Linked DNA regions of Mytilus edulis. The protein of the gene in region 2 purifies or fractionates together with the protein of the main gene of each other region. This does not show direct contact. Links are inferred from orthologs where the notes say so. Each region holds a gene or a part of one and is shown on either strand. Other genes may lie near its edges. The genes, in order: AMP deaminase 2-like, RNA-binding protein with serine-rich domain 1-like, ATP-dependent RNA helicase DHX8-like and E3 ubiquitin-protein ligase RBBP6-like.

What was found.
Region 1: the proteins of RNA-binding protein with serine-rich domain 1-like (region 2) and AMP deaminase 2-like purify together in Homo sapiens (co-immunoprecipitation; 3 studies listed by BioGRID and IntAct, with this or other methods). This does not show direct contact. The link is inferred for Mytilus edulis from reciprocal best matches to the Homo sapiens genes RNPS1 and AMPD2.
Region 3: the proteins of RNA-binding protein with serine-rich domain 1-like (region 2) and ATP-dependent RNA helicase DHX8-like purify together in Homo sapiens (co-immunoprecipitation; 3 studies listed by BioGRID and IntAct, with this or other methods). This does not show direct contact. The link is inferred for Mytilus edulis from reciprocal best matches to the Homo sapiens genes RNPS1 and DHX8.
Region 4: the proteins of RNA-binding protein with serine-rich domain 1-like (region 2) and E3 ubiquitin-protein ligase RBBP6-like purify together in Homo sapiens (co-immunoprecipitation; 3 studies listed by BioGRID and IntAct, with this or other methods). This does not show direct contact. The link is inferred for Mytilus edulis from reciprocal best matches to the Homo sapiens genes RNPS1 and RBBP6.

What each region holds. Positions count from the first base shown.
Region 1 is NC_092348.1:27,887,179-27,895,832, forward strand, and holds the start of AMP deaminase 2-like, read right to left. Parts: upstream 3,733-8,654; 5' UTR 3,613-3,732; coding exon 3,564-3,612; intron 2,308-3,563; coding exon 2,085-2,307; intron 1,155-2,084; coding exon 1,119-1,154; intron 1-1,118. Other genes in the region: BAG family molecular chaperone regulator 1-like, read left to right, coding at 4,025-4,067, 4,585-4,716, 5,502-5,584, 5,854-5,967, 6,437-6,607, 7,813-7,868. UniProt on the Homo sapiens protein: AMP deaminase plays a critical role in energy metabolism. Catalyzes the deamination of AMP to IMP and plays an important role in the purine nucleotide cycle.
Region 2 is NC_092352.1:76,793,763-76,801,325, reverse strand, and holds the start of RNA-binding protein with serine-rich domain 1-like, read right to left. Parts: upstream 3,002-7,563; 5' UTR 2,987-3,001; coding exon 2,964-2,986; intron 1-2,963. Other genes in the region: protein-lysine N-methyltransferase EEF2KMT-like, read left to right, coding at 3,168-3,266, 4,600-4,740, 5,808-5,918, 6,541-6,618. UniProt on the Homo sapiens protein: Part of pre- and post-splicing multiprotein mRNP complexes. Auxiliary component of the splicing-dependent multiprotein exon junction complex (EJC) deposited at splice junction on mRNAs.
Region 3 is NC_092345.1:83,690,309-83,698,522, forward strand, and holds the start of ATP-dependent RNA helicase DHX8-like, read left to right. Parts: upstream 1-4,598; 5' UTR 4,599-4,837; coding exon 4,838-4,931; intron 4,932-6,935; coding exon 6,936-7,021; intron 7,022-7,510; coding exon 7,511-7,678; intron 7,679-8,214. Other genes in the region: integrin alpha-4-like, read right to left, coding at 890-1,080.
Region 4 is NC_092352.1:19,424,634-19,432,785, forward strand, and holds the start of E3 ubiquitin-protein ligase RBBP6-like, read left to right. Parts: upstream 1-4,641; 5' UTR 4,642-4,785; intron 4,786-6,896; exon of another isoform or gene 6,897-7,161; intron 7,162-8,152. UniProt on the Homo sapiens protein: E3 ubiquitin-protein ligase which promotes ubiquitination of YBX1, leading to its degradation by the proteasome.

The DNA.
Region 1 (8,654 bases), on a different chromosome or scaffold from region 2:
AACAAGTCTTAATGGTGTTTCTTCAATTTCAAGCAATGTTCAGTACATATAATTAAATATATGGAATAAGTTACTAATTAAATATATGGAATAAGTTACTAATTAAATATATGGAATAAGTTACTAAGTTCATGCAAATGGCAATTTACAATCAATGAACCATATTTGACTTGAATTTATGATTTCAAAAAGGATAAACTTTCATTCAATAGTGATTTTTGTAATTAGAAAAATCTGTCACTATAAAATTCAAGCAACTCCAAACATGAATAGTTTATAAAATGAACTTCTTTTCCTGTTACCATGGTTACATACAAAATATACATCAGGATTATGAATTAGTGTTAAATGTCTAGTGACAAATATCAAATGCATATAGGATGAGAAAATGTTAATGGGATATGAATATTGTACTAGAATGATACTTTGTCAGAGCCAAAATTTAAAGTTTAGTTTCACACAGTAACTTATCACAGGAAGATATATCATCCTACCTGTACACGTAGTTCTGTCTCTATGCTGACCAGTATTTGTTCTTACTCATAAATGCTGTGTGCTTACCCAAAGAGCCACAAGACCACTGAGGGGGTTGAATACATGTTTCAATTTGAAATTCTCATACACAAAAGATAAACAATGAGAACTTTATTAAATTATACTACATTGTAGTGCAATGCTCCCTTCCCAAATTACACATGTTTGTTCATAATTCTCCTCTGTTCACTAACTAATCAAGTTATAAGCAGCACATATTCAAAGCCTGTTAAAAATCTGAATGCAGTTTATCACAGTGAACACTCCCAATATGTAAATACAAATATTGTGTCTCAAAAAACAAATGTCCAGTTTTTCATGAAATTTTAATCATAAAAAAGTCCAAAGAAACAACGTTAAATTGCATTAATTTTCTACTTCATCAAAATAAATTTTTACATTTTCAAGAATTTTCACTGTGTTTCAGCATCCAGATGCATATATACATACGCTTACATGTACCATGAGATATATGTGTGCTTTACTTAACCTACATGTAACAATTAAAACTGAAACAAAAGAACATTACAATATTTTTAAAAACAATATTATCATGCACAACATGAACATTCCCTGAAACTCACTTTTCTTCAGCTATCTGCTCCAATGATCCTGTTGGTCTGAAAATAGTTATCTAATTGTGATAAAAAAATGAGATGAAACCTAAAAAAATGGTATTCTCTTATAAAAATATTTCTTGAGTCTAAAAAAACAACATGTTTCTGCTAACCTAACCTACTCTATATTTTCTATACAGTTTTTTTCTCACCAGGTTTTAACAAGCACATTGAAAATCTGAATGTTTCTAGAAAGTCGATGAAAGTAGTTCAAACTTTTTGAAATATATAACTACTTGTTTATCATGCTTATTACATGTATTAATCTCCTAATTTTTTCAACATGTCAGAAAAAACAGGGTACTTCTGAGTGAAAACAGAGGGGGGAAAAAACAACAATTTGAAAAACCAACAGTAAAAATAAAATTCAATTCAATGATAAATTATTTCTCACCTGTTCCAACTTATAAACAAATTGAAACAAAAAATCAAGGTATGATATATGTTAAACTATGGCTATGACCATGATGACCATGATGATATAATTATAGTGTTATAGAGGGAAAAATTCACACAATACAAATAATTAAAGATGAATGGTATTAAGCAAGGAATAAATTTTTTTGAAGCAATGAAATAAAAGATTAAAAAATTTCATAGACTTAAAACTCATTTGCCTGCATTTTCAAATTATGCCTTATGTTTTCCCATTTGAATGGTTTTACACAAGTCTAGTCATTTTTGGAGCCCTTTATAGCTTGCTGTTCGGTGTGAGCCAAGGCTCCATGTTCAAGACCGTACTTTGACCTACATGTATAATGGTTTACTTTTACAAATTGAATGAAAAAAAAACCTTGCAGAGATTATTTGTTCAAGTAAAAACACCATTTCAAACAACTGTTAGTAAAGTCAAAGTCAAACAATGCAACTTCATTCAGCACTCAGTGACTTTATATATATATATGACTACACAAGCTACATGTATATATTCACCTTGTACTCAGTTGTCTCTCAAAATAATTCTTGCTCTCATTTTCTTCTATTGGATATTCATCAATCTCATATGGTGCAGAGCTTTTATAATGAAGTTCTGGTCCATCTGTTTTTCTCCGTAGCATAGAATCAGCAATTTCTTGAAATTTATCATCTGTAGGGTTGTGGATATGTTTAGGGAATTTCAACTTAGCAGGTGCAAATGTAGGTGAAGTCAGTCCATCTGAAAACAAGTTAATATTTTTCTAAAAAATATTAATCGTATTAATCACATATTCTAATGCAACAACGTTTGTAACATTCATTTTGATTGGATAACGTCACTTTCTTACATGGCATCAATTGACAATTGATGCTATGGGACGTACGCGTATGCGCAGACGGCATTTGACCAATTTTAAATACATGTTTTAACGTTGTTTCCTGTCAGTTTCATTAGAATGGAGATAACATTATTGTATTTAAAGCTCTGATGGCATCAATTTGGGATTTGATGGTCGCAAAAACCCGTTTGCTGTCTCCGCTAACGCATCGCCAGTAAACTTAATTTGCGACCATCAAATCCCCAATTGATGCCGTCGGAGCTTAAAATACAATACAGTTATCTCCTAATTCTAATACACACAAGTTGACAACCATTTGTCATGTTTGTCAAAATATTGTTAACATAATCTACAATAAACATGATAAATTGTCAAACAAAAATTGTCAAAAATACCACTTATTAAATACAGTCAGACTGTCATACTTTTTACAGTTATTATGAATTGAACTATTGCATATATTGCATGCATTGTAATCAGTACATTTTGTTTCATAAAGGTGTTCTTTTCTTAACTTCAATTATCAAAAGAAATACATGTATAATGGATATATCTCTATATGCATTGCTGAATGTATTTTATTTAAAAGTATAAAACCAAAATTGTATTACTGCATCATATTTATCAATATGTTTGCTTGAAATAGGAATTAATAGATTCAATTTTCTTCCATTCTCTCGAGTCAATTGGTGCAGATTTCCAAAAAGCAATTATGGCAATAGGGTGTATTTATTCTGCTACACAATATATTATACACAATTTTTCAACATAATTATTTGGACTATTTTATATTATGACTTCAAAATTTGACAGGAACCTTTGTGAACTCCAAATACGGATAAGGTGTACAATGTTGTATACAAATTTGCCTTTAAAAAATTAATGTATTAAAAAAGATAATTTTAAGAGTACAATGGAGTAAGATCCTGAAATTTTTTTATGATCAAGTATTAAAGAATTTAAGATTGGTTTGTATATATGGTTAGCTATTAATTTATGAGTATGTACATTCTACACCCCAGTTTCACTGTAAGAACATTTTTGATGCAAACTACCCTGATCCATAACATGCAGAAATCATTCACATTATATATAAATATAAGGATGCAGACGTTTGACCCTAGTGAACTTGATGAAATCAATTTTACATATTTACCTGCAGCGGCTGGCCTTTTCTTTATGTCATTTGGTACGTTTCCGTTCATTTCGAGTAGTTTTTATCCTAATACACAAATCATAAATTGTTTGAATATAACAATTGCATCTGACAGCAGCAGTTTCGCCAAATTACTTTTACGTATCAAGATTCAGTAAACATTAGAGATCTCGTCCAAGGGACATAACTGATCTAGAAGGCCAAGAATATGTATTTTTTTCCTTTGTTATCTTGAAAGCGAGTATTGAAAATTGACTAAAATCACAGTGTAGTTTGCCATGTTACATATATGAAACATTATTGACATAAAATAAACAAACGTAGATGTAATCAATATTTTTTAGCTTGATAACAGTGTTCGGATTTTACTCCTGTCTCCTCCCTTGACCTGTGGTTTAGAATTTATTTATGAATGTTGACATTGGCAATCAAATTTATTCTTGGAAAACACAACTATCAACATGACAGACCAAAGACACCGCATAAAATTAAATATCAAACATGGTTTTTATCAAATATATTTGTCCATTCTAAAAAAAATGCATTTTACCTGTGTGAAACGGGGACAAAACAAAACATATGATATTGTTTGTTATTTTCAACCAAAACATGCTACATTGTACTCACTGGGCCTACAAATAACTGCTTTTTTCAGTGTCTGTTCACGCATTTTTATATTCACCTACATCATTGATCATCATTGTACATTTATATGAGATGAAAGCTGTGGGTTGTTTATTGTACTGATCGAGGGACGGACAAAAATTTGTCAGTGGAAAATCTAACTCTTACACTGTTGTGTATAATTTTCAGACATATATACGTCTGAACCAGTGACAACTCTACAACAGATTTATCCATCGGATCACCAGCAGTGATATATATTATGATTTTTATATGAAAACTACAAGATATTTAAATTATTTTTTTTAAGATACAAAGAAATTGTTGCTGAAACGAACAGCATGTTTTAAGTTCAAGTTTTATTCTTGTTTATACAACACATCTTGCTTCTTTACAGGTTCAGTCCGACACAGCATTATTTTAGAATTACCATCCAATTCCTATGAGGTATTGAAAGTCCAACATTTGATGGACAAAATGGTGGAGATGTTTGGAATACCTCTTGAATGTCAGAAAATTGTTCATAAAGGTAAACATGGTAAAATGAACAAAGTTATAAATATGATAATGTAGGGATAATTAGTTGTAAGAAACAAAATTTTCATGTCATCTCCTGCAGAAATAACAGAGGAAACATAAAAATAAACAGTTAGAAGTATGATTAAAACATTTGTTGGCCAAATACTGATTGAACATTCTTGAACTCATGTGCTTAAAGATCCTTTGAAATTGATCATATTAATTGAATTAACTCTGTATGTATTGCCCTTAATAGGAGATTCCAGTTAGAAAAAGACAGAAATAATTTTCTTTAAAGTATTAAATCAGTTTTTAAGACTGATGGTTGATTTTATGTAGACCTTGTTACTCCAGATAAATGTTTTAAACAATGTCTGAAAGTTGTATATTTACTGAGTTATATCCCCTTATAATCCATCATGGTGTCTAGAAATATAACTAATAAGCGTTGACCAATTCAATTTTGTTCAGTAATAGTATTCAAGACTGATATACATTTGAGAACAAATTATAAATTTATGTGAGGGATAAAATAGTTTTTGAGAGAAAAAAATGTAAAAATTCTTTCATATAAATAATAATGATATGGGAGCATCTTTAAAAATTTTGAGTATTATCTTCTGTTGTTGTGGAGTCAAATCAAAACAAAAATGAGCACTACCATAGCACATTTTCAGGGATCAATATTGTTCGACAGTTTCATAATTTTTTTCTCAAACTATCTGAGAAATACTTATAAAAGTTGATTGTCAAATCTCATAATGAATTATGAATAAATTAAGATATGAATTTCAGGAAAGACTTTAAAGGATCCCGGTGATATATTGAGTGAAATAGGTGTCAGGGATGGTGCGACAATAATGTTATTGGGGAAGAAGGTATATTTTAAATTGCAAAGTTATAAAAAAAAAAATAGTATCAATTTTTTTTTTAAATTTACAAGAAAGTTATAAGCATGGTAAAAAATTACAATTAGGAAATGTTATCAATGAGCAGTTCATTAATTTACTAAACTATTCCGAATCAGTGCATACAGGAAGAGAGTTTATGATAATCAGAACAGATGTTTTTAAAACTTCTTTAGAATTCTCAGATATATTCAAATAATATTTTGAAATAGGATTTGTTTTCCACACTTTATTTATAGCCAGATCCTATCGAGGACAAAGAAATGAAGAAGTTATCAGATATAGAAAAAGATGTAGAGAAAAATGAAAAGAGATTGAGTGATATCACATATGAATTAGATGGTATTCATAGAGTAAGTAAAATATTGAAATACTTTACCACCACTTTATAGACAATAAATCACAACAATCACATCGAATACTTGATTTTCTTCTTTGACATTCACCATTAAAGACAGGAAGGGATGACAGACATACACACCTAAAATTATAGTAGTCTTTTGTTAAACTTTCAGCTTCATTCCGATTTTGATAAAACTGGAACGTATTTCATATTCAATTTAAATTTAATTGTTTTAAAAAAATATATGAGTTACTTCCCTTAGCCTTAACATTCTCTTATTGATATTATAGATTGACTTGGCAAATTCAGCAGTCAAGAAAATTGAAACACTGTGTTTTATGCAAACATACCACATGATGCTTTTTTAATTTGATGTGTACTCTTTTTTTTTTTTTGTCTTTTTTGTAAAAAGTTTTAAATATTTGAATGAGAAAAAAAAATGTTCTGAAAATTAAAATTATTCTAAATTTTAATTTCAGGGTTATATAAATGATGATTTGAAGTTACCAGCCTTAAACCAATTAAAGAAAAAACTAGGAGGAACTTCAGAAATATTTATGAAACAATTATTATCTTTAGATGCCTTAAGTTTTGAGGAGAGTAATAAAGGAGGAAGAGGGAAAAGAAAAACTATAGTAAACAGAATACAGGTAATTATATAAACATTTGATTACATTTTAAATGTGATTATCAAGCCTCGATAAATGTATATAAATATTCTCATTTGTAAATTCGGTAGTTAATTGTCACCGATATATTTCAAAACTGCAATTATACTTTAAAATTGAGAATGGAAATGGGGAATATGCCAAAGAGACAACAACCCGACCATAGAAAAAAACAACAGCAGAAGGTCACCAACAGGTCTTCAATGTAGCGAGAAATTCCCGCACCCGGAGGCGTCCTTCAGCTGGCCCCTAAACAAATATATGCTAGTTCAGTGATAATGAACGCCATACTAATTTCCAAATTGTACACAAGAAACTAAAATTAAAACTAATACAAGACTAACAAAGGCCAGAGGCTTCTGACTTGGGACAGGCGCAAAAATGCGGCGGGGTTAAACATGTTTGTAAGATCTCAACCCTCCCCCTATACCTCTAGCCAATGTAGAAAAGTAAACTCATAACAATACGCACATTAAAATTCATTTCAAGAGAAGTCCGAGTCTGATGTCAGAAGATGTAACCAAAGAAAATAAACAAAATGACAATAATACATAAATAACAACAGACTACTAGCAGTTAACTGACATGCCAGCTCCAGACTTCAATTAAACTGACTGAAAGATTATGATTTCATCATATGAACATCAGGCACAATCCTTCCCGTTAGGGGTTTAGTATCATACCATCATAACATATATGAGAAGATCATAACCCGTGTCATGCCAACAACTGGTTTTTGAATAAATGTGTTTAGTTCCGATGCAAAGACCCTATAAGTGAATCAATATTAACGCCAAAATATGCAATCTTTAATGACCTGACAACAGTATCGTAACTATATACCTTCTTAATAAGTCTATTCAAAGGTTTTGTTAGTTTTTGAGGTGAATATTTGCATGCTGATCTTTTTACATACAATATAATACACGTATTTGATCAGGGTGACCCATTGTGTGTCATTTCCATTGTGTAGAATAAGGGGGTGTTAGAGGCATGTTTTACTTTATTGTTCAGGCATGCAATTGGCGAACAGATGGTATTTTGAAAATATCTTGATAATTGCAAGATAAAATTTTATCGTATTTTTTTGTGTGTATTTCAACAATTATTTCTAACTTTGAAATTATACAAACATGTTTTACAGTTTATTGTGTTTTAGTACCTTTTTAATATTGTTGATTTTGCAGGTTTTGTTAGACAGATGTGATGGACTGATGTCAGGATTAAATGACCAGATAGCAAGGTTGTCTATATGAAATGCACCTTAGTTACAGTATACCTCACCTTTTGTTTGCACTGCACAGATTTTTACACTCAAACACTCAAATTATATAGAATGTTTATTTGTGCTTTGAATTGTGTGTTTGTGTATTTGAGAACTTTTTGCAACTTATTTCTTTGTTTGAAATTGCACATTTTATATTACTTTATTAAACAATACTATTTTTGCTCTTTAATTTAAAGACCCCCTGTGAGCTATTGCCATCATTTTCCATCCATTGTTTTCCCCTGCATGATGCTGTAGGTATTACATATAAATATTGAGCATGCATCTGTGCGTTTGTCCACTCACGATAGCATTCTCAATCTCATGTGTACAATTCTGGTCGGATTTTTATAAAACTTATATCAGTGGTCAAAATTAGCATAAAACTTATATCGGTGGTCAATATTAGCATCAAACTTATATCAGTGTTCAATATTAGCATCAAACTTGTATCAGTGTTCAATATTAGCATCAAACTTATATCAGTGGTCAATATTAGCATCAAACTTATATCAGTGTTCAATATTAGCATCAAACTTATATCAGTGTTCAATATAAGCAGTGTCTTTGGATAAATAAAAGAATGAGTGCTTACCAACTAGTTATGTCCCTTTGAATTATCAATCATATTAAAAGTTGCATTTTAAGTGCTCTCAAATGTACAATATATTTTTACATCATAAAATATTTCATTAAAATATTTATTAAAAGGTTAAAAGAACTAAAACCATTTTTTTTAATTTATTACCCTTAGAGAGATAA
Region 2 (7,563 bases):
ATCAGAGAGAGGTGAATTTCTTGAATCACTGCGTTCTAATGAATTCTGTTGAGTAACCTTTAGGGGACTCAAAATTTCTGTGGAAAAGGGTTAACTATTAAACTTTCTATTAAATATGCATTTCAAATTTTGAGGAATGCTTAATCAAATTGGCTTCATTTTCAATACAAAAGCCAAGCAAACAGATACTTTTACACAATCCTAAAAGAACTGTAAAACGAAAATTGTGTCCCCTCTACATGTATTTTGTTGATTAACAAAATAGCCTTACATGTTTTAAATGACAGTAAAAGCAAATGCTTTTAAAAACTGTACATCAATAAATTTAAGTAAATTTAAATACACAACTGACACAACTACAGCATTGTAATGTTGAAGGTTGTCAAGACTCAGAGACTTGAGGGCATACGATAGTTACAGGGGAGGTAATGACGTTGCTACCGTAAATTGTTATTTTCGCAACGTCAAACTACAGTGTATGACTTATCGGGAAAGATTCAGTTTTCGACTGATTTTATCATTCAAACTTATTTCACTTGAAAACGAGTTCATGAACCCCTCTTTTTCAAAATGCCATTTGGTTTGATTACGCAAGATTATTTTTGCCAATTTTCATGAAAACGTAAATAGTGCAATTTTTTAAAATTTGATAAATAAACAGCAATAAATGATGTTTTTTCTACAATTATTTCTGAATTAAAAAAATGAATAAATTTTTAGGATACTTATAAAATACATAAATTACAAATTATTTAACAAAAACAATTTGTGATCTTTTAAAACAAAAAAGTTATGTCTTTCTTTCGAAAAGGAAAATACGGCCACAAGTCCGAATTTTTAGCAAATATACAAAATTTTGACCTCATTTTACTCAAAAAGTAGCACATGAAGGCATATTTTTTATTACATATTTGATTTAATCAGGTAAAAATAGTTTATATGGAAATTTTTATCAAAATGTAAATACGGGACCAAAACTGTATTGTATGCCCTTCAAGTTGTTAAATGCAGTCTTCACGCTTAACCGGGTATCCGGTCGTTCCGGCCCCAAACCGATCCGGCCCCAAGTCAATCCGGCCCAAAGTCGATCCGGCCCAAGTCGATCCGGCCCACGTCGATCCGGCCCCAAGTCGATCCGGCCCCATAATAAAATAAGAAATAACTATATTGATCTTGGAGGAAATTGTGACACAGTATAAATGGAATTTGCAATCACACCACATCTTCCTATATCGATATATTTTTCATAAATTTGACAGTATTTTGAATAGTTGTGTGTAGAAAAAAACACAAGTTATATGAGTATCCATTATTCTTTATTGCAAGAAAGGAAATGTTGAGTACATATAACAGAGAAGAATTGCTACAGCAGATGACAATATTTAATAACAGTTTCGTATATTTTTTTTATTGAAGAATTTATTAGACTGTCATTTCAATAATTACTTACTTCCATGTCTTCTCTTTTATAGATAGGATTCGGCAAATCTAACAACATTTCTCAATTTAAGAAATTTTAAGAACTTAAAAAGAAAAACAAAGTTTGTATGTATCAGCTTGGGGATCGGCTTGTACCGTTGTGTATGTAACTATTTGTTATTACACAAGATGAAAAACTTGTTAGGATCACAGTCAATTGAAAGAAAACGCTAATTACTGCTGATTAATGTTGATGTCTGAATTGTTTTAATATAATTATACCCAATAATCTTGAAAACTTGTAATAAAAACATAATCAACCTAGTTGTTTGTATACTCATCTGAAGAAATTTTTTTTTTTTACCGTACGCCTTTACATTATAATAAAAATCATAAACATTTATGAATTACTTTAATATATATCTTTATTTTTTATCCTTATAAATATACTTTTTTATTGGGGCCGGATCGACGTGGGGCCGGATCGACGTGGGGCCGGATCGACGTGGGACGGATCGACTTGGGCCGGATCGACGCGAAAGCGCTTAACCGTACGCAAGTCCTACGGCATTGGCATGTAAAATTGCTTTCAGACTTGTAAGATTCTCCTCTACAAGCCAACAGAATACTACTAAAATTTTCCAAAAATTGGGCTTCTGGCTTGTGGACTCAAAAGTTAAGCATGAAGACTGTAAATGTCTTGTCATTTGGGCTCTGGTGGAGAGTGGTCTCATTGTAAATAGTGGTACTGTACATTTTGTATATATATGGATTCTTCATTTCCAATGACAACAAAAATCAAAAGATGTTAACTCTGTTGTTGGACCAGTATAGAATAGTGAACTGATATTAATCAATATTGATTTTTTCATTCATCATGATATATCAACAAGTATAAACTATACACCTTATCGCTAATCCCGGCTGCTTGAACTTTTGACACATACAACAATCACTTTTCCATTATGGCGTCAGATATTTTTTTTTATGACGTCAAAATTTTACTGGAACCTGTGTGATATTCAGTAATGGCGGACAAATAGCGATAAGGTATATCCCGGCTGCTTGAACTTTTGACAAGACAACTATTACTTCTTTATTGGGGCGTCAGACAAATACACCTTATCGCTATTCCCGGCTGACCCGTCCGTTTGAACTTTTGACGTCAACAACAATCACTTTTCCATTGTGGCGTCAGACATTTTGTTTTATGACGTCAAAATTTTACGGGAACCTGTGTGATTTCCAGCAATGGCGGACAAATAGCGATAAGGTGTATAGCTATAAGGTGTATTCATTCTTTCAATCAATTTATCAATATAAATTAACCTTTTTTGGCATTAAAATGAGTTTGTGCAATTAAATATTTGCATAGGACTTCTGATTAGTTCTGTTACTGCATACTACAACCACGAAATGTAACAGGAAACAAGAGAAATTATTTTAACAACAGATACAGAAAAGGGGGGTCAATGCTTAGAAAAAAAACCCATTCCCAATTTTTCTTAAATTCTAACGAAAAAGGGTAATTTTAATTATTAAACGTTTCAACAATCGATGTTGACATTTAAATGCAGGTAAAGTAGATGGATGGCTACGATATTAATGGATTAGAAAAATTAATTCTTACATCTTTGAGGTAGAGGTTCTGACGCCGTTACACTTTAAAAGCTCGTTTCTGATTGGACGAAATATGAAGTCTTTAAATTGCCTGCCAATGAGAATTTCTTTTACTTTAAGGAATAAAAATGGCAGCCTCCATGAGCTCAATTGATACCAAAGTTATTTTGCATGAAATTTCATGTCAATTTTTTGAAATGGTGCCGATAAGGCGAATAAAATGGAGAGTTAGTAGTCATATTATGTTTGTTTTCCGTCAATATACTTATATTTATCCAAATGTTGAGTTTTCTGCGCAGGGCTTACTATACAAAAATTATCTTTGGTCTATATCGAATCCGGGTCCGTTCGCGCCCATTCACGTTCGCACTCACTCATGTTCGCACCCAAAGTCCGTTCGCACCCTACATGTTCGCGCCCAATCTTAATTGGTTTTGTGCTTAATAACTTTGTAAGCAAGTGTATTCTTATAAATATAATTGTTGTCATTGTCACAAAATAAAGTGAGACATTTTTTTTTGTGTTGAATAAATCTTAATTATGTTTTGGATAGTGTTTTGTTAAAAAAAAATAATAATCCTTTCTAAATAAAGTGGGATTCTGTCAACGTTTTATTTTGTGTTGAATAACTCTCAATCATGTTTTGGTTAGTGTATTGGCTATTGCTATAACTTTGTTTCATGGACTTGTTTCAAAATGAAGTGAGATTCTGACTACGTTTTTTTTGGTGTGTTGAATAAATTTTATCATGTGATGTTTGATTTTTTCCTGTTCAATCAATAATGACAGTGAAATAGTGAAATAACAATTCACTTTTTGCAGCCTAAAAGGTTCAATTTTGTCAAATTACGCTAAGAAACATTGATAATTAGTAATTCACTTGCAAGTGAATGAGTCGACCTCTTTAAATCCGTATTCATGTGAACTTCAATTTAACCCCTAGCTAGAGATTGACAACGCATGCATTGTACGTCATGTACGTGTACTGGTTATTTAAAAAAAAAGAATGTCAACAATGAAAGTGAAACTACGGTAAATCATTTGATTACTAATTTGATGCACATATAATCATTTCTTATACGGTTAAAAACAATGAGAAACATCTATTTTTGATCTATAAAATAAAATCAAACAGACCTATAAAAATCCAATTGCACATGTTGGTTTAATCTAGTCATTTCTTTATTTATGTTTACAAAATGTACATCGCTTATATGGTCATCTGAGGTTAAATCGATAGGTAATTAGATGGCGTCTGGACTAAAATACACACGAAACAAACCTATATATTATCTACCCCATGCTCTGTAAACTGTTTATTTTAGACTATTGATAGTTTGGATAAAATATTACATTGCTATAAATCAAATATGAGAATATGAGTCAAATCGGTGACCATGAATTTGACAGCTAGTGCCCCTTTAACATAAGTTTAATACTATATGATAAACAAAAATTACCATTTGGACATTGAGCAAACAGTTACACCAATCAATAAATCCTTAAAAATTGAAATAGTATTATAATAGCATCTGTTTTATTTTTTACTCTTTTTTCCAGACAGAGCTTATTACAAGTGCACAGATTGGTCCAGAGGAACAGAAGGCTGTCCTCAATGCCACAGTTTTAAATGAACTTTGCAAAAAATATCCTCCGTCAGTATCCTACCAAAAAGCTTTCACGAAGACCCTACTTCACAAGGTTTGATTAATAATCAGAATCGTATTTAGTTAATGTTAGAATACATGACATATTGGTTTGAGTTGTCATGTCAAGCAAAATTAAATGTTAACTGTGCCCGGAAATTTAGAAATGATCCATGTAAACTTGTCGCTCCTTTAAATAAACTTATTCTAAAACTTAAAAAGGTTACCTATTCAATACTGTAATAAGATCATTGAATAATGTTTTTATTGGTATAAATATTGATTTTGTTATCAGTAAATTAAAAGCTAAATAAATATACATATTCATTGAACTACAATCTGTCGATACTTATTATTTGAATCTTAATCAAACTCTCTCATAACTTTCATGATTATGCCAAATAAAAAAGTATGTTTGGTTCCAGTTACATCTGAAAAAAAGTTAGGTAGGTTGGAATTTTTTTTATATTTTATTATTTTTTTTTTATATTGAGTCCATGGGAGCAACATTCTGACTTTAACAGTGCTTAATGAAAAATGAAAATAAAATCTTTAGGGTAGGCTATTTTTAAGCCGAAAAAAGTATAGACGGTAGGGTTACTGGAACCACACATATATTTTTATTTGGCCTTATTAGAAATGCGAGAAATCATTACTGAGAGGGATCAACTAAAATAATTTGTGTCCACTGAAATGCATGTTGTATTGGATTTTTTCGTGCAAAGATTTTTGGTATATTGTAAGAGTTATCTCCCATTTCAATAAATGATGTGAATAAAAGTTGATGTCAGATATATGTGACAGTGAATGAGACAGCAACCCTACATGTATGATACATAAAATCATCAATACAAATTTAAAAAAATCATATAGGGTAAACTTGTATAAACATACATACATGTTTTCTATGTTAATTACTCATTAGATCATAAAATATTTAAACATTGTAACTGAACATCACATGAAATATGATTAAAGATAGCTCATGGTATGACTTCAAGTGTAGGACGTTGCCAGGACCAACAATAGAGTATCTACAAATATACCTGTAGCTGGGCATGAATCATTTAGGAATAATTGCAAAGACTTGTAGAGTTTTGATATGTAACTTGTCAATTTCAGTTAGAGGAAAGTGAGGTTGAAATGTGTGATGAAATCTACGAGGTTTACACAGACCTTTTACAACAGACTGAAGACGAAGATGACATCCTTTGTTACAAAACATATCATCTGGTAAAATCAGGTTTCTACAAGGTTCCCTTGTTTTTGTTTTAATTATAATACCCATGATGTCACATTGTAGACATGTTTTGATTTACATTTCTGACACAAACAGATACCTACATGTACATGTACTTTCTATTCAGGGATTCCCCTGCAAATCCCATTTGAAACTGAGGTTAAACAAACAACTACAACTGCTACTTGTAACAGCATCTCATTATGATGACATAATTTTTTGCCAGAAAAAGTGTAGGGTTTTCATGAAGTAAACACCAAATATCATTCAGATAAGGCTACTGTGGAGTATACTTTTTGGTGCTTCATTACTAATCTAATGAGTCAACATTCTTTATTCATTATTATGAAATTTGTTGATCATCTTATCAGAAAAGTAAATACATGTATTGGTAATGCTTTTATATCTCATAATAATATCTTTTAAACCAGGATATGTAAGCTTGCAATTGATGATTTCAAAATTAAAGAATCATAAGGATTATAGCATTTAATCAAGATACCAAAAGCAGTCTTCAACATTTGATTCGAGGTAAAAATAAAAAGCCTCAGAAAATTATTTGTGATTTATCTTTGTTCTGTCAGTTCCAATATTTATTTGTATTTGTTCTTGCAGCCAAATAGTGAAACAGTAAGCCTACAAGAATCAATACATCTCATATCCCAAGGAACAACTGGACTGAACACATGGCAGGTATGTCAGAGAGAGAGGCATTATGGGAAATGTAGTTACTTGATGGAGAATATGAGTATCACTTTTATGAACAAATACTAACATGAACCAATAGAGCTTTTGTCACGACTGTAAACAAACTTTTATCCTGATGTTACAACTCACACATTTTTCCTTCTAATACTGGTATATATATATGTTTAAAGTCATAAGAAACCTCAAATCAAAAAAAAATAATGCATATGATTTTAATAACTCAATGGATAGTTTTCATTATAAAACTTATGTACATGTACTTTTTTCTGAAGAAAATTCTTTAATTTATTCATATTTAGAAGAAGTTTACTTTATTTGAATAGCTTCCTTCCAGCAAGCAATTCCCCCGAGATATTTTCCGTATGCAAGGTGACCTCAGTGTGACCCATCTCGTAAAAATCCGGTGACCACAATACGCATGGATGTCCTTAAAATAAACTATTATCTGAATTTACATGTTAAACACGTGCTCAATTTCCATGCTTTTTTGTTTATTTTTCGTCAATTGTTGACAAACAGGTGACAATCGTTAAACTTCGGCTTCAAGACACGAACTTTAATTACCTGCCATATTTTCACAACAACACTGACCGATTGAAAAAAAAATTGACAATTATACGAAATTTACACGAAAAAAATGATAAATTCGAGCACAGAAGACTAAGTTTATGATGTTTGTATGCATTTGTTCAAGAATTGGAAGAACATTATTTTTCACCGGTCACTCGTTTCTTATGACTTTAAGGATAAAACAGAAGAGAAACCAAATTCTTCAAATAAAAAAAAATTAAGATGTGACATAAATATATGATGACTCTTTAGAAGTTCCTGACTTTGAACAGGTAAATATTTTATGCACTTTCAGAATGAGATCAAACAAATACGTGAAATATACATTCAAGGGGTTGACTCTGTAAAGTGGGTCGACTA
Region 3 (8,214 bases), on a different chromosome or scaffold from region 2:
AATAAATGTAGTTTTTTATTGAAACTTTGTTGCATTTTCTATACATTTGTGCCATTTCATGTAAAAGAAAACTCAGCAGCAAATTCAAAGGGGGATGGTTACTCATTTGTGGAAATATTTCTCCATTTAGTGAGGGCCTCCAACCTGTTTAACCACCACCGTCCTACTTTTATAATTTCCTACACGCAATACACCAAAGTTACAAAAACCTTTAAAGGGCCTCTTAATAATCAGTCTCAGATCTTTACATTAAAGCTATATGAAAGGAGCGTGTATAATACGTCTATATGACACAATGGCCTAGACTTTTTGTACCAAGATTTACAAATAACACGAATTATATGTAATTAAATATGATTACTGTTGCTCTAATTTGCGTGAATCATCTAAAAGTTTACATATCTGTTTAACAATATATACAAGTCAAAATATCACACGCTATTACTATAAACTGTTTATAATTTACGCATGTTAAAAACTAATTTTATTTTAATGCATAGTTATTGTACAATATTAGAAATCGAATGGCCAAAAATGGCATGCCTCAAGGTGAATCTGGGAACACGGTATATCTATCAATATAGATGTTCCTGTGTGAATTCAATTTAAAAAAAAACTGTGACATAAAATTCAGAACCTCCCAGAATTAATCTATTGCGAGCTGCATGTCTCGGTATAACTACGTCGATTTATATAACCCCGTACCACTGGTTAACTTATTATTCAGTCTGATAAAATGCATGAACAGTGTAATAATAAATGAATTTGTGACACCCTTTACCTTGCAACGAATTTAACAGTCGCCACAAAATGTGGTTGGTACCTGAGTCCTCGTATGACATAGTAGCAGTCCATGACCCTATCGGTCCAAATTTTTTTTAGTACTTACATGATTCCGTTTTTGTTTTCCAGGATTCCAACAGAATACCCAAAATAACTTCCGGTGGGTCCTTTAAAAAGCATCACATTCTTTTCATCTAAATTATATGCATGTGTAATACTGTCAAGATAATGTAAACAAATGTAAGTTTTAAAAATAAACACCATAAAATCCATTGCAGTTGAAACTGCATTTATCATGTCGGAGCAGTTGCTCTATTATATATACTTAATTTGTCCATAGCCGTACTGGTAATAATTTCCATTTGTTATTAAACCACAAAAGGTCAGAGGATAGGTTTTCAATCTCTCTATACACGTGTTATAATTGTGTGGTTTAAAAAACTATTTTTACTGACAACTTTATCTTTAAAATAATGGGTCTTCTATAGTATAGATTGTGTTTTATCATTATTGAAGTATTTGATAAGAAAGCACGAAATGTATTTGTTGAACTCTCCAAATTCCCTTTAAATGTGTGGCCTATCATTGGAAATAAGTATATACACTTGAGATTGACTATACACGGTCAATTGTTTTCTTTGCCTCACACTAGTCATGATAAAATTATGAAATAAAATAAACAAATAACAGAATCTGGAATAAGTTGGTCAGTATTGTTATCTAAGTTAGACGAAACCAAGCGAAACAAAACATTGACGTATATAGTACCATATACCCGTAGTACGAAAAAATACAAGCTGCTTTAATTAGCATTCAACAACCCACAAAAAAAGAACAATTATGCAAAAAGGCTAGTAGTTACTGTAATGTTCCACATGAAATCCATTACAGCCGATTTTATTGAGTGTGAAGGCTTTAGGTAATGTCTTTGGTTAGCTTTTTTGTTAGCTAAACCGCGAAGTCATTATTAGGTCAGGTATACTACCCTCCTTTCGAAGTAGCCTAGCCCAACAGACAGATAGATTGGTAATTTGTCGAACTAGTCTTCTATCAAAGGAGGGTAGTTTACCTAACCTAATAATGCCATTGCCTACACACTCAATGAAATCAGTTGTAATTACCATGAGTAAAATCTTCTCATATTTTACAAATGACGAAAGATGGACAGACTGAGAAATACTTCTGTGACCGGCAGATTTATGTTTACATCAATTCTTTAGATTTAATTGTTAAATTTCGAATTGAAAGATCACCAATCAATAGCAAGCTTTACACAAATGAAATTCCTGTCAGAAGCCAACATCTTATTTTAGGTTATTATTTTTTTTTTTTGGGGGGGGGGGAGTGGTCACCATATTTTGCTTTGAGCGTTCCTGTCGCAGGTAAATTCAGAAAGGCGCAGAGGACTCATAAACTTGATTTATAACGTATTTTTTGTCATTTTTACAGCATTGGATCGATACCTTTGCATGTGGACTATTACTCACTGATGGTATATACATTCAACTCAGTTGTCAGTACATCGGTAGTGATATGATTTATAGCATGCCTTTTTTGATTTGTCTGTTATCAATTTTGAAATTTAAATGAAACTAAGGTTTCAACTTCCTCAGGATAAGTAATCCATAGATCGATCTGGCTATCTTTTATGTCCTTTTCGGTCATATAGCTCTTAAAATGTATCGGTTTCGCACATTTTTGGTTTTAAAATATTTGGTAGTTTAACGTTAACGCTCAGGATAATATTCGAATATCACGGCCCAGGCCATGTGTAAATTTCCAACAATCTATGGCTTCCATGAATTATTTCTTAATTGTTACTGACTGAAGGTAAACACAGAAAGGCGCTTCGGACGCATGACATTTACAACGTTTTGTAATTGGTTCGATACCTCTACTGGTGGATTATCACTCTCCGTGGGTATATTCAACTCGGAAATTTAGTCTCATTTCACACACAAATAACCTCCCTTTCCCAGGACAAAATTTCATAATGTTCATCTATGAAATATTGTCTATATACAGACAAAATTTCACAATGAAGATATGTTCATCTCTGGACATCATTTCATAGATGAGGCTGGGACTATCATACTAACAAGTATAATAGTCCCAGGATGAGGACAATATTTCATGATAGTGACATAGTCATTGAAATATTGTTTTGGTGTACAGTATTTCATAGGACAATATTTTGCTTTACATATATACTAAAGAGATTCGCGTATCATATATATCGTTATAGTGTCAGTAAATCTTTCAAAAACACTTGATTCATGAAACTGATTCCACATGCAGACATCTAAATGAATTGTGTATATACTTGCAGGGGCGGATCCAGCCATTTTAACCCAGGACAAAAAGGGGGGTCCAACTACATGTCACCATTCAAATGCTTTGATCGTACAAAAAAGGGGGTTCAAACCCCCGGACCCCCCCCCCCCCCTTATTCCCCCTATTACATAATATTCAGCTGTGATATATTGTCTATATACAGAGAGAATTTCACAATGGAGATGTGCCCTTCTCTGAACAATACTTGATTTCATGATACCGTGGCATAGTCATGAAATATTGTCTTTGTGGAATTATTTTTATTGACAATGAGTTGTCATTCTTTTTAAAGTGTGGTGAGTTGGCAGACTGAAAATTATTCATCTAAATTTTAACTTTTTCAATAAGTCGGGAGAGTTGGCAAGAGTAAAATTAACGTGATTTAACCTATTTTACAAGTGGGGCGATTTTTTAAAAGGCACTGGCTACGGTTACATGGAAATGTAACAATAATAAAAATATTATTGTTACATTGGAGACTAATTGCCGGAATGCAAAGTTGGGTGAGGAACCGATTAATTACAAATGTAACAATAATTACTGAGGCTACGGTTACATTACGTTATTGTTACATGAAAAACAGCAATGTACGCTAGATTGATTAAACTTAAATCTTCTATAGTTGTATTGCTTCATTCTTTCATATATACTAAACAATACTTGTAATTTAATACTGATAAATAATAAAATATTATTATTCAACAAATGGTGTACAACTTGAATAGTTTTACTACGTATTAATGGTTTTGATGTTCTTAAAGATACTACTCAAGATTATGAGTGTGACTGTCAAAGGCGAAAAATATAGTTCAATGGTTTCACTTTTTTACAGTATTTAACTGCACACCTACTCTTATTACTGTCATTATACTTTGGACCAATTTTGTTTATGGTGAAAAAAATAAAACTTGGGATGCGTTTTAAACGAAACTGAAACAATATCAAGACATACATTTCATACAGCTAAAACTATAACTTGACGCAAATTGATAATCAAAAGCAAAGTTTGCTAACTGTAAAGTTTAATACTAAGAAATTCTGTATGTACACGTATCCGTGGAGGACGTAATTTCGTTCATCAAAAATGTGTCGGACTTTAAAAACAACTTGCTTACTGGATTTGTAGAAATTGTCATTGTAAATAAAAAATTACAGTAAATAAATTGTATGTTATAAATGCATGTAATAAATGTCCTCAACTTTTATTATTTAGTACATATTACTATAGTCCCATCGTGCATTGCTTTTTTTCATGTAACAATAACGCAATGTAACCGTAGCCTCAATAATTATTGTTACATTCGTAATTAAACAGGTCCTTACCCAACCATGCATTCCGGCATTTAGTCTCCAATGTAACAATAATATTTTTATTATTGTTACATTTCCATGTAACCGTAGCCAGTGCCTTTTTAAAAAGTGAGGCGATTTAGTGTTGGGCGATTTGCAAGTGGGGCGATTTGTCCTGCTTCCGTAAGTTCGAGACTTCCCTCAAGAGCCTCAAATTATTATACCTTCCCTTGTATTAACTCTTTTGCAAAAAGTCCTTTTTCGTCTACTACGATCAAAAACGAACTTCTTTGTAAACAAAAAATATCATGTGGGAAAAAATCATCACTTTTAAATGTTTGTTCCTCTAATCTAACATAAATTTGGCATAACTGAACAAACGATCATCAGTTTTTCATATCTGAGAGGTTGTTTTTATTGAACAGTTAAAATGAATGAACTTCAGAAATTAGAATATTTATCTTTGGTGTCAAAAGTGTGCACTGAGCTTGACAATCACTTAGGTCTAAATGACAAAGATCTTGGTAAGTGTGTATTATAAATTGTTTTCCTTTAAACCTAATATATATCAAAGAGGTACTACCTGATATGCTCCCGAATGTCATCAGGTGTAGATCCAAGATAATTTTGTTTAGCAAGACAATGTTTGGAGTGGTACTTGTAAACAGTCTATACACTACACATATAAGTACAATGTAGCTTCAGAAGGGTAATGTCGGTTACTTAGAGACAGTTTTATTTATTTTAAACATTGACGCTACATACATTTGACATACATGTACTTTAAACACTGTTTTCATTACCCTTGTTACCTTACTATTATAGGTATAACCATTGTATATCCTTTGTTAGTTTTTTGTAATTGCTCATCATTTTTGTCATTTTAGTGATTTACAAAACAGTTTTCAAAATGACAAAAGTATTTTAAATCAATTTCGTCACTTATTTAAATTTTGTAAGTGTAGAGTGAGGTGCTCATTTTCGCCACATCTTTTCATATTTTCTACAGTTTCTGTTCAAGTGTGAATGTTTTTGAAGTATACTGATATTTCTATATGAAGATAACTTCAAATGCAAAATATTCTTAAGCTTGAAAACGTGTTTGTTTGAATATAATCATCAGAAAAGTTAGATTAAAGGGTGTTTGAAATTACCTGATTTTATGTCAATGGGGGACACATATTCGCCGTTTTTACACATCAATTTAAAATCAAATAACTGCAGCTTTTAATAACATTGATCAAATTGATTTCATAATAGATGATAGCAGACATTTCAAAGGTGTTAAGAACTGAAATTTAGGGGCATTCAGTCAAAGAATTACTTAGAAATACTTCTTTGAATTCCTGTTTTTTCTTCAGGAAATTGGCCGAAAATGGTTGTCCGTTTTTCGGTCCTTTTCAGTAGGTTCCGCAATTTTGTCTCAGTTATAAAAAATAATCATATTTGTTATATAATATCATTTACCGGTATATGTCTTCCATTTCAGCCATGCATCCTTTGAAGTTTTTACACCTCAAAATCATAAAACGGCGAAATTGTGTCCCCGGCGAATATGGGCGCCCCACTCTATGAATATTTTCGCATGAAATTATTATACAAAATTTTTTGAAAAATGTAGTTCTACTTGTCTTCAAGTTTTTGACAAGTTTCTGACCCTCAGCTTATTAAAGTTTACAACATGTGTTAAAAGTTGTGATGACATACATTGCCGTGACGCCCGTCAGTGGGTCACTAATACACTAATTTTTTATTAGCCTCATAGTTGACCATCATAATTATTTTTCCAAGTAAAATCAGTCAGTCTCAGCATTTCAATTTCAATAGTTCTCAAACAACATAAATTTGAAGTAGCTAAAGATTTATCAGAGTTTTGTCATGAACAAAATTGTTTTAACTTCTCTAAAACAATATCAGATTTACAAACAAAGATAAACAATAACAAACAACACAGTCCTATAAGCTTAAGAAAATATTTTCCTGGAATGTGATCAGGCACGGATCCAGAGGGGGGGTTCCGGGGGTTGGAACCCCCCTTTTTTTGGACGATCAATGCATTTGAATGGGAGCATATACATGTAGCTGGAACCCCCCCTTTACTCTGGGTTGGGAACCCCCCCTTTTTAAAATGGCTGGATCCGCCCCTGGTGATAAAGAATACAGTAAAATGTTAATCCCGGCATACATTGCATAACATTTCCTTACATTGCGTAGAAATTTGGAAACACACATAATTTTTTACAATAATCTTGAAATTATATAATTGAATTGATGTATATACTTCATGTGTCTTATGGTGATTACATACATTTGTGCATTCAAGCTCAAATAAGATCACTGGAATAATCTGGTTTAGTTATCATGGTTATTGAATTAATATATATAGGCAATCAACAATATTTTTTTAATAAGATAGACAACATGATAGAACAATTTGTTAATGAAGTCTGTACATGTGTAGTCTGAATAATTCATTGATGATTATATACCTTTAATGTTGACTGATTTTTTTTTTGTATTTAATGTAGCTGAGTTTGTGATTTCTTTGGCTGAGAAAAATGACACATTTGAAAAATATAAGAAAGTGTTGGATGAAAATGGTGCAGAATTTTCAGTGAGTAAATTTCACAGTATTGAATTATATTTAGGCCTGGTCATTTTTATTTGCAAATTAAAAAAAATACTTATGTACTGTTTTTACTTACATTTATGTCAATCTCTTATTTGGACCAAGATTTTAAAAGTTCATTTAAGAGAGTTTGGACATTTTAGCTTTGCAAATTTTTTGTTTCAAGAATGATTCAAATGAACTAAAAAGTCTTAATTCTGGTTCATGTGTTACTAAACATTTGAAAGTTAAACTCACCTTTAAGATTGAAATATAATGTTTCCTAATGTCCAGGGGATAATATCTTATTGATATTCAAGATGGCTTTTTCAATAGCTAAGTTCCTGATTTAAACAAGATTTGAAATATTCCTGTACAGTTAATCAGCCTTTTTAAATTTACTGTTTAAAATAAAATCCTTAAAGGCTTTTAAAATATAATATAATAGAATCATTTAATAAATATTGAATGTCAAGTTACATTTTTTCTATTTAGGATTCTTTGGTGGCCAACTTGTTACGACTTATAAATAGAATGAAGCCCAAACCACCAGATGCAGAAAAGAACAGCAGTGACACAACAGAGGGTATTCCTCAAACCGATAAAGATCTTCAGAAGAAGTTGTTCCCAGGTTTAGCCATGCCCAACAATCCCAATGTCTTAGTAAGTTACTGTAACAAATGATTTCCTAGGAAGGGCTTCTAGTTATTACCATATGTTAAAATTGTGCTGTTGCCATTTAATGGTCTAATTGTACAGCAAGTTTGCAGTGGCGGATCCAGAAATTTTCATAAGGAGGGCCCACTGACTGCCTAAGAGGGGGCTGCTCTTGTCATGCTTCAGTGATTCCCTATATAATCAACCAAATCTTTCCCTCAAAGGGGGAGGCTGGGCTCTCTGAATAACCGTCTATATCTGCCTCTAGTTTGTTATAAACTGATACTGGTTTTCTTTGGGAATCAGATTTAGACTGTAAAGTTAGTTAGTCAAATCTCAAAGTATGTAACAGGAAACAGTTTCTTTTTCAGAATGATTTTCAATATTCTAATGGTTCATATATATGGAGACTAGAGTATCTAACTGTACAGTCCTTTTGTGATATATGAGTCTGTTTGCAGACTTAAATCAATGAATTGTTTGGGTGGTCACCTTCCTTAACAAATAGTAGGGTCTGGTGTAATGCAGGCAAAAAATCTGCA
Region 4 (8,152 bases), about 57 Mb from region 2:
CTATGGGGTACCGATCGTGTCACAGATGTACAACCCAATCGATCGACTTACTTCAATTTACTAGGTGCACAATCGGAGCAGTCGTATCCCGCAATCAATACGATCAGGCCCTTGTTGATCAACTCAATCGATTCAATTACTTCAATTGATTAGGTGCATCGGCTCAATCGTATCCAACCAATACGATCAGGCCACGGTTGATCAATTCAATCGATCGTGTCAGTTGTAAATATACCCCAAACGATGCTGTGTCAGGTGACATGGGCTGGAAACCACCATGTGTTAAACAGTGGATAAATATTTTCAGACACTGGTCTAAATGTACAAAAATGGACAATAATAGAATTAATTATAAAGTTTTTAAATGGTCAGTGATGAAAGGTAGTTGTAAATTAAAGAATTGGTGCTACAAAGTTATGGAGATGTTGAAATCCTTTGATTTTGAAAGATATTGTAAAATAAATGAAAATTTTCTTGATAGTTATAGTATATCTCAGTTAGAAGAGAAAATGTTTGATAAATATAAAAAAGACTGGTGTACAAGAATTTTTTCATATAGTACCGGTTGTAAATTGAGAACATATAAACTTTTTAAACATACTTATAACACTGAGCAATATTTGCTACAGAAAATGCCACAGCGCCATCGTAGTGCTTTTTCAAAGTTTAGATGTGGTGTAGCACCATTAAAAATTGAAACTGGTCGATATGAAAGGAAAAATCTAGACGAAAGAGTCTGTTTTAACTGCAATATTTTAGAGGATGAAAAACGTGTACTTTTAAATTGTCCCTTGTATAAAGATCTAAGACATGCTCTTTTTATTGATATATTGTGTCATAATGATATGTTTTTAAACTTGTCTGATGAAGAAAAATTTATGTATATGTTTAAAAATACCAATATTTGTAATATTGTTGCCAAAACCTGCAATAACATTTTAACAAGGAGAAACGGTATTTTATATCATTAACTACTGTATTTGTAGTATTTTATAAAATGAATAAGTATTATTTGTATTTTAATAGTCTCTCATAATTCTTTTAAGAATGGCACATACATTTATTTAATTGTTTTAACTATGTTTACTGTATAATTAATTTTATAATTGTATCTTGTTTTAATCATGTTGTATGTGGTGATACTTTAATAAACTATTGAATCTAAATCTGGGGCCGAGTCAACGAAGCTGTCCTAGGACTAGGACATGTCTTAGGATGGTCTTAGGACACGTCTTAGTCCTGAGTCAGACTCTCAGGTTAACGAAAGTCTCCTAAAATAAGATATGTCCTAAATTTGGTCCTAAAGTTAGGATATACAAATAGGTGTCTTAGGATAGTTCTAAAGGTTACAATGTCCTAAACCGTAATAAAAACAACAAATATGGCATAAACTCAATACTAAAAATACCAATACAATATTAAACTATCATATACTGTTATTAGAATTAAATTAATAAAACAAAATATTTTTCAATATTTGTTAAAGATTCAATTGTATTACATTAAATTATGCTGTGCTTAAGCCCAAAAAATATTATCATCATAAGCAACATTTTTTTCGACTTATCAAAACGGTCCAATATTAATTTAAATATGGAGACAAAATTACTTCTTTTTTAATAATCCTGATTCGAAACATGTAATGAAATCGAGTGGACCTAAGTACAAAACTAGTTTACTATAATTGCTGCACGACTGTCGCATTTAACTAGGTTTTGTTACTATTTACCTTTGTTTTCGCATTAAATTTATTTATATCTTTTATCATATTTAATAACGTATTTATTAGTATTACGTTATAACTTTAACTTTAATTTTACGTTAATTGTTTTCAATATAAGAGTCATCCTCCCTATCTTTACATATAGGTTCTAAATTACAATAAAATCTATGTCATAGAAATCTCTCCATATTTTTTTCAATAAAATAAATGTGTTAGGATGGTCTTATGACCATCGTAGTTAGGACTGTCCTGAGACAGCTTTGTTTTACATCCTAAGACATGTCTCAGACACGTCCTAAGACCATCCTAAATAATGTCCTAAGACATATCTTAGGACATATCCTAGGATACTTTCATTGACACGGCCCCAGGTCTTTCCTGTAAAAGGGATGTTTTCGTAATGTACTTTGCACGACCTTTCGTTTGATATACGACAAGCATACCGTTTGAAACTTTTCGCTTTGTACACTTAATGACCTCATCCGCCTACACTTTAGAGTCCTACATATGTAACATAGACTTGATGATCTTTCAAGACTTGATGATATGCGACAACGTCATGTTCTAGAAAGTTTGATTTTTGCACTTAATAACCCCATCCAACTCATTTTTGGAGGTCAGGAATTTTATATTTGAAATGTACACGTTATGACCTTTCATTTGATATACAACAACCTTATCTTAAAAGAAAGTTTATTTTTTTGCACTCATTGACCCCACCCAACCCATTTTTTGGTACAAAAGCTTGTCCGGAAAAAAATCCATAGCCCCCCCCCCCCCCCCCCCCCCCCGAAAATCAAATGGTTGCTACCTAAATAGAAGTTATGAAACATGAAAATTTCAAATTGTTTATTTGGTGGTTTTTTTTTTCATTGAATGTTTTTGGTATTTTGGTCAAACATATAATCATGTTAAACTCTTCAATTTCATAAAATTTCAACCTGCTGTTGGTTCAAAAATACATGCCTCCGCTTGCAAAACTTCAAACTAAATTATCTCTGAAACTACAGCAGATATCTCAAATCTGCTAAGTGATAAATGATATGCACTTAAAGGACAACATTGTACAAAAAAATTGGGACAATTCCAAAGTTCATCAAGGTCACAATGAATCATCAAAAATTTGATACAATAACAAACTTGAGAACCGGAAGTCGTAGAGACATAGGACTACCACCATTCAACCCAGGACCACTTGACCTTTCAAATGTCACAAGGTCAAGGTCATAGTACACTTTGAAGGTCAAGGTAAAATTTCATCATGACCTGACATTGACCTCAAATTGAAGGTCTTAAAATACAGTTCATTTTTGCAGTTTATAGTAGGTTGCTATCTGTTACCTTTCAAAAGATAAACACACAAAACTATACTTTAAAGAAATTATTTCATTGTAAGTTTTGAACAGACGGTCGGACATTTTTTAGCTTAATGTATAAAATGTAGAGCTCGTCGAGGGGAAAATTTATACACAGTATGTATTCAGCAAACTCTTATAGTTTTCTTAATATGTAAGCTTGAAATTGCAGCGTAAAAATATTTTGCACTCGGTGACCTTTGACCTTGGATGTAAATTAAAGGTCACACGAACTGTCCTAGTAGATTTTTTACCTTTAAAAGATGAAGGAAAATAAAAATTATAGTTTTTTAAAATTAATATTCCATAAACTTTACAATAGTTTAAAAATATTATGCCAGACAGTTGTTTTGTAGAAAATATTTCAATTATAAGTAAACTTTTCTTGGCAATTTTAGCCATTTTTTTCTTAAAATATAACCATAGATAACTGTCCTGGCAGATTTTTTTTAACTTGTTAATTTTTTAAATACCCTGTTCTTTATTATTCAATTTAAATTTTAACAAATCAAATCAAATCAAATATTTTATTGTCATATAAACTTTACAGTTTGTGACCAACATATATTAATACAATAAACACAATAAACATATATACATACATATTAAACATACAAAATATCAACAGCATTAAAATTTATAACAACAAACAAGTTGTTAAGAGTCCCCTGCCCTCAGTTCTAATGACTTTTTCAAGAAGGATCCTAACTTATTTGTTTGTAAAGGCGATGATGGATTTAGTAAATAATGAATTTTTTCTTCTTCATTTAAATTATTAAAGTTCTTATTTTCTGTACATATGTGATGAAAAAAGTCATTTCTTAGAGTTTTATTATACTCACAAGATAGTAAAAAATGTTTCTCATCCTCTAGTATTTTACATTTATGGCAAAGACGTTCCTCTCTTGGGATTTTAAAATATCTCCCCTTTTCAATCAAGAGGGAGTGATCACTTATTCTAAATTTAGTGATTAATCTCCTTATCTGAAAATTAGATGTATTTAGATAATATTCTAGTTTGTAATCTTTTTTAAGTTTTTTATAGAGAAAAAATTTACTTTTATTATCGATGTTTTGAAATTTATTTTGAATTAAATCATATCTATTTTTCATTTTTAACTTTATATCGTTTTTTATTTTATTTACATCTTTTATGTCCTTACAAGTAGAAAGAATATTAAGGTCAACTTTAGTCTCTTTAACAATATTTTTAGCATATGTATACCATGAGTAAGTTCCTGTCAAATCTAGAGACTGTGCTAGAGAAAAAGCTTCCTTTAACAATGGATTAATATTATTATTATATAGTCTAGCTAAATATAAAAGGGTTTGTGTTTTAATAAAACATTCTATAGGCAATCTTCCTAATTCAACTCTTGCTCCTAAATTGGATGCATTTTTTCTTATGCAATATTCTTTAACAATATGAGGAGTTAAACAAAAGTTACAGATAAAAACGTATCGAAAAACTCTGTCCGGGTTTTATCTGTCCTGTTTAAATAGACCTTCCCATGTTTTTGGTACTTTAGATATACCAGATCAAATATCCGTCCTCAGATCCAATCCACTAAATACTGTGTCCAACGATGTTTCACGAGAATATACGAGAGGATTTTCCAGAATGACGCCATATGCAAGGCTAACACAATGTGAATGTCACGACTTTTTTTAGAATTAGAACTTATTGGCTGTGTTTATACGATACATGTAAGTTTTTTTTACACTATAGGCTCAATCTTAACGGATTAATCAGAACGGCGTGTCACGATAAGTTGTATGTTCAGGTTTAAACTTATTTATTTTTTAGCCAAATTTACATGGCTAAGAAAAGTAACATACCTCTCAAATGATTTCTAGCAATACAATGGGAAATGTACTGCTCCTTGTAACAGTTCCTGCCTAAGTACAACTACAGTCAAGAGACGGGTGCATCAATTTTGAATCAATAAACTACTGAAATAATCATAAAGAAAAATAGACAAATACCTGTTCGGCTGATGTTTTTTTATAACCAGTTCGGCAGTAGGCAGTACAAAAGTTATGGTCAGATTATATGTTTTTGTATACTGACTGACTTACGAAACACAACACCAAACTAAATCAGATTTTATCAAATTAAATGAATAATATAGCCACAAAAAGAAACGATACCCAGATTTTTATCAAAAATATCTATTTTATTTTCAACAATGTTTTTTGAGTTTTGTATTTTATGGAACAATAACATAAAAGCATACAAACGTATCAAAGATAACAGTTAAGTAAATATCAAATCATTCCTTATTGCACAGACTGTTTGAAGATGTCTTTGAAAAAAACAAAAGTTGAAAAGTTAATATCTCGTATGGCCACCTCTTTGAGTTGATAACAGCAGGCAATTTCCGACGCATTGGTCCAATCAAACGCTGAATAAATGCTTGTGGAATGTTATTCCACTCTTCCACCAAGGCAGCTCGTAGCTGGTTGACTGATATGGGTGGATGGTGATGTCTGCGTATGTGTTTGTCAAGTTCATCCCATAAATGTTCAATGGGTGATAGATCTGGCGATAAAGCTGGTCCTAGAAGAATGTCTATGTTATTCTGCCCAAGATATTGTGTGCATACACTTGGCACCTAGCATTGTCCTGTTGAAAAGTATGCCGATTCCCATGCCTTGCAATAAATGGTTGTACAATTGGAGAAAGAATTTCGTAACGATTATGAAATCCAGTAAGACTTCCATTTATGAACTTCAAGTTAGTGCCTCCACAATGTGTGATTCCTGCCCAAACCATCACACCACCACCACCAAAGCAATCACATTCATGCACACATGCATCTGCAGAGCGTTCATTTTGACGTCTGTACACTCTCATTCTTCCATCACTTCTATGTAAGCGAAATCTGGACTCGTCACTAAAAATGATGTTTTGCCACCTGACACGGTTCCAATACAAACGTGCATTTGCCTAACATAGCCGCGCAGATCGATGGCGCTGTTTTAGAATGGCTCCTTCTACTGGACGTCATGAACTCAAAACAACCTCTCTTAGCCTATTGCGTACAGTTTGGGCCGATATCCTTGGATTATGTCTCCCTGGTGTTTGTCTTGCGGTAAATGTTGCTGGCAAAAACCGACCCCAGAGGTGAGTGAATCTTATTCGACGGTCTTGGCATAACGTCGTTTCTCTTGGACGTCCCATAAGTCGTCTGTCATTATAGGACCCAGTCTGTGTTGAACAACTCATTTATCTATTTATTGTCAATTTGGAAACACCAAAATTGTGTGCAACGTCAATATGGGGCATACCTGCTTGTACCATTCCCACTGCTCTATCATGGTCATTTTGACCTAGACGTGGCATTTGAAAACGGCTTTTTTGGATGTCACCTTCAATTACCTTTTGTTTACCTGTGTTGACCGGATATTGAATCACCCTCATTTAATTTAAGACCCGTGTTCGGACGACATAAATGTGGTTCCACTCAAAAATCAAAAATACGCTAAAATGACGTTATTATTTTGTAAAACAAAAACAAAAGTGCAGTAACCTACAGACTTATGACTGTTTTCGAATATACAACTAGTTGCAATACATTTTTTTTGTTAATAAAAATTATTATGTAAAAAAATTGGGTATCGTTTCTTTTTTTTTTTCTAGTATATATTACACAAATTCATGGTACATATGAATATTTAATCAATCTTTCAACATTTAAGACAAAATTGACTGTCAATTGAGAAAGCTATGACATAATGTTTCATGTCAAAGTAATGAGGTACAAACCATGCACACTTACAGTCTGGTTTTGAATCTTCAGTATCAGGTGTGGCCACTGTTGTTCCGTAGGACAGCTTTTTATCTTGTTCGCATTCATGATTGATTGACAAAGGTTTCTGACTGTTTTGCGGGGGATGTTTTGCCATATGATATCTGTTGTAATGCGATACCATTTTCAGCCGTGGTAGTCGTCAGATTCAGACGAGAACAGCTGTCCAGCTCATCCCATATGTGTTCAATAGGATTTAAGTGGTGAAAGATCAAGCTATTCCAGAACATCTACTCCATTCAAATTCAAAAAGTTTCGAGTCAACCTAACGGTATGTGCACGTGCATTATCATGTTGGAATGACAATTGATTTAACTGTCTATGACATCGTAGCTTTAGAACGACAACTGGCTGCAAAATTTCATCAATATAGGGTCTAGCTGTTAATGTGCCATTGACAATAACCAACCGTGTCCGAAAATTTGTGTTAAAAGCGCCCCATACCATTACACCTCCGCCACCAAATTTGTCACGTTCAATCACAGTTATCTGGGTAACATTCATTTTCTTTGTATATTCTTGTTCTTCTGTCTGCAAAACTTACATTGGACCATGATTCATTGGAAAACACCACACGATTCCAGTTTCTCTGCTGCTGCAGTTGTTGCCTGGTCCATTGCTGTCGATTTCGTCTATAGTGTGGAGTCAAAATCATTCCTTTATAGGATCTCCTGCAGGGAATTTGACGACATCTCAGGATAAGGGATACTGTGTTAGCATTTATTGCTCTGCCATGCGTCCAGTAGTTTGTTTTGCGGTTGGCGTTGCCGTCGTGAATCCATTCCGCAAATGATGTAGTCTGATGGCATTTTGTTGCTGGGGCATTGTTACTTGTGGATGGCTGGGTCTCGGATGATCTTTTACTGTTCCTGTTAATCTGTTGCATTGAAATAAACAACTGATTGCTGAGTTGCTTACATTAGAATGTCTTGAAACAGCACGCTGACTCATTCATGTCTGTAACATACCGATGGCTTGATTGCGATTTTCATCACTGAGTCGTGGCATTACGAAATTTAAAGAAGTTCAATTGGTTAATGGAAGGCAAAGAATGTAACGCATCTTTTAGACAAGATAAAAAAATCGGTTTAAAATTTATTCAGCTACCAGCCATCCTGCGTCACACATTTCATGCTTCCCTCACCCCGTTATTACCTGACTTGCTCAGGTAAGGCAATGGTTGATTTTTACTAACCAAATACATGTCATGGATGTATGACAGGCGTACATAAAAAAAAATCTTTTATAGAAAATAAACCTTG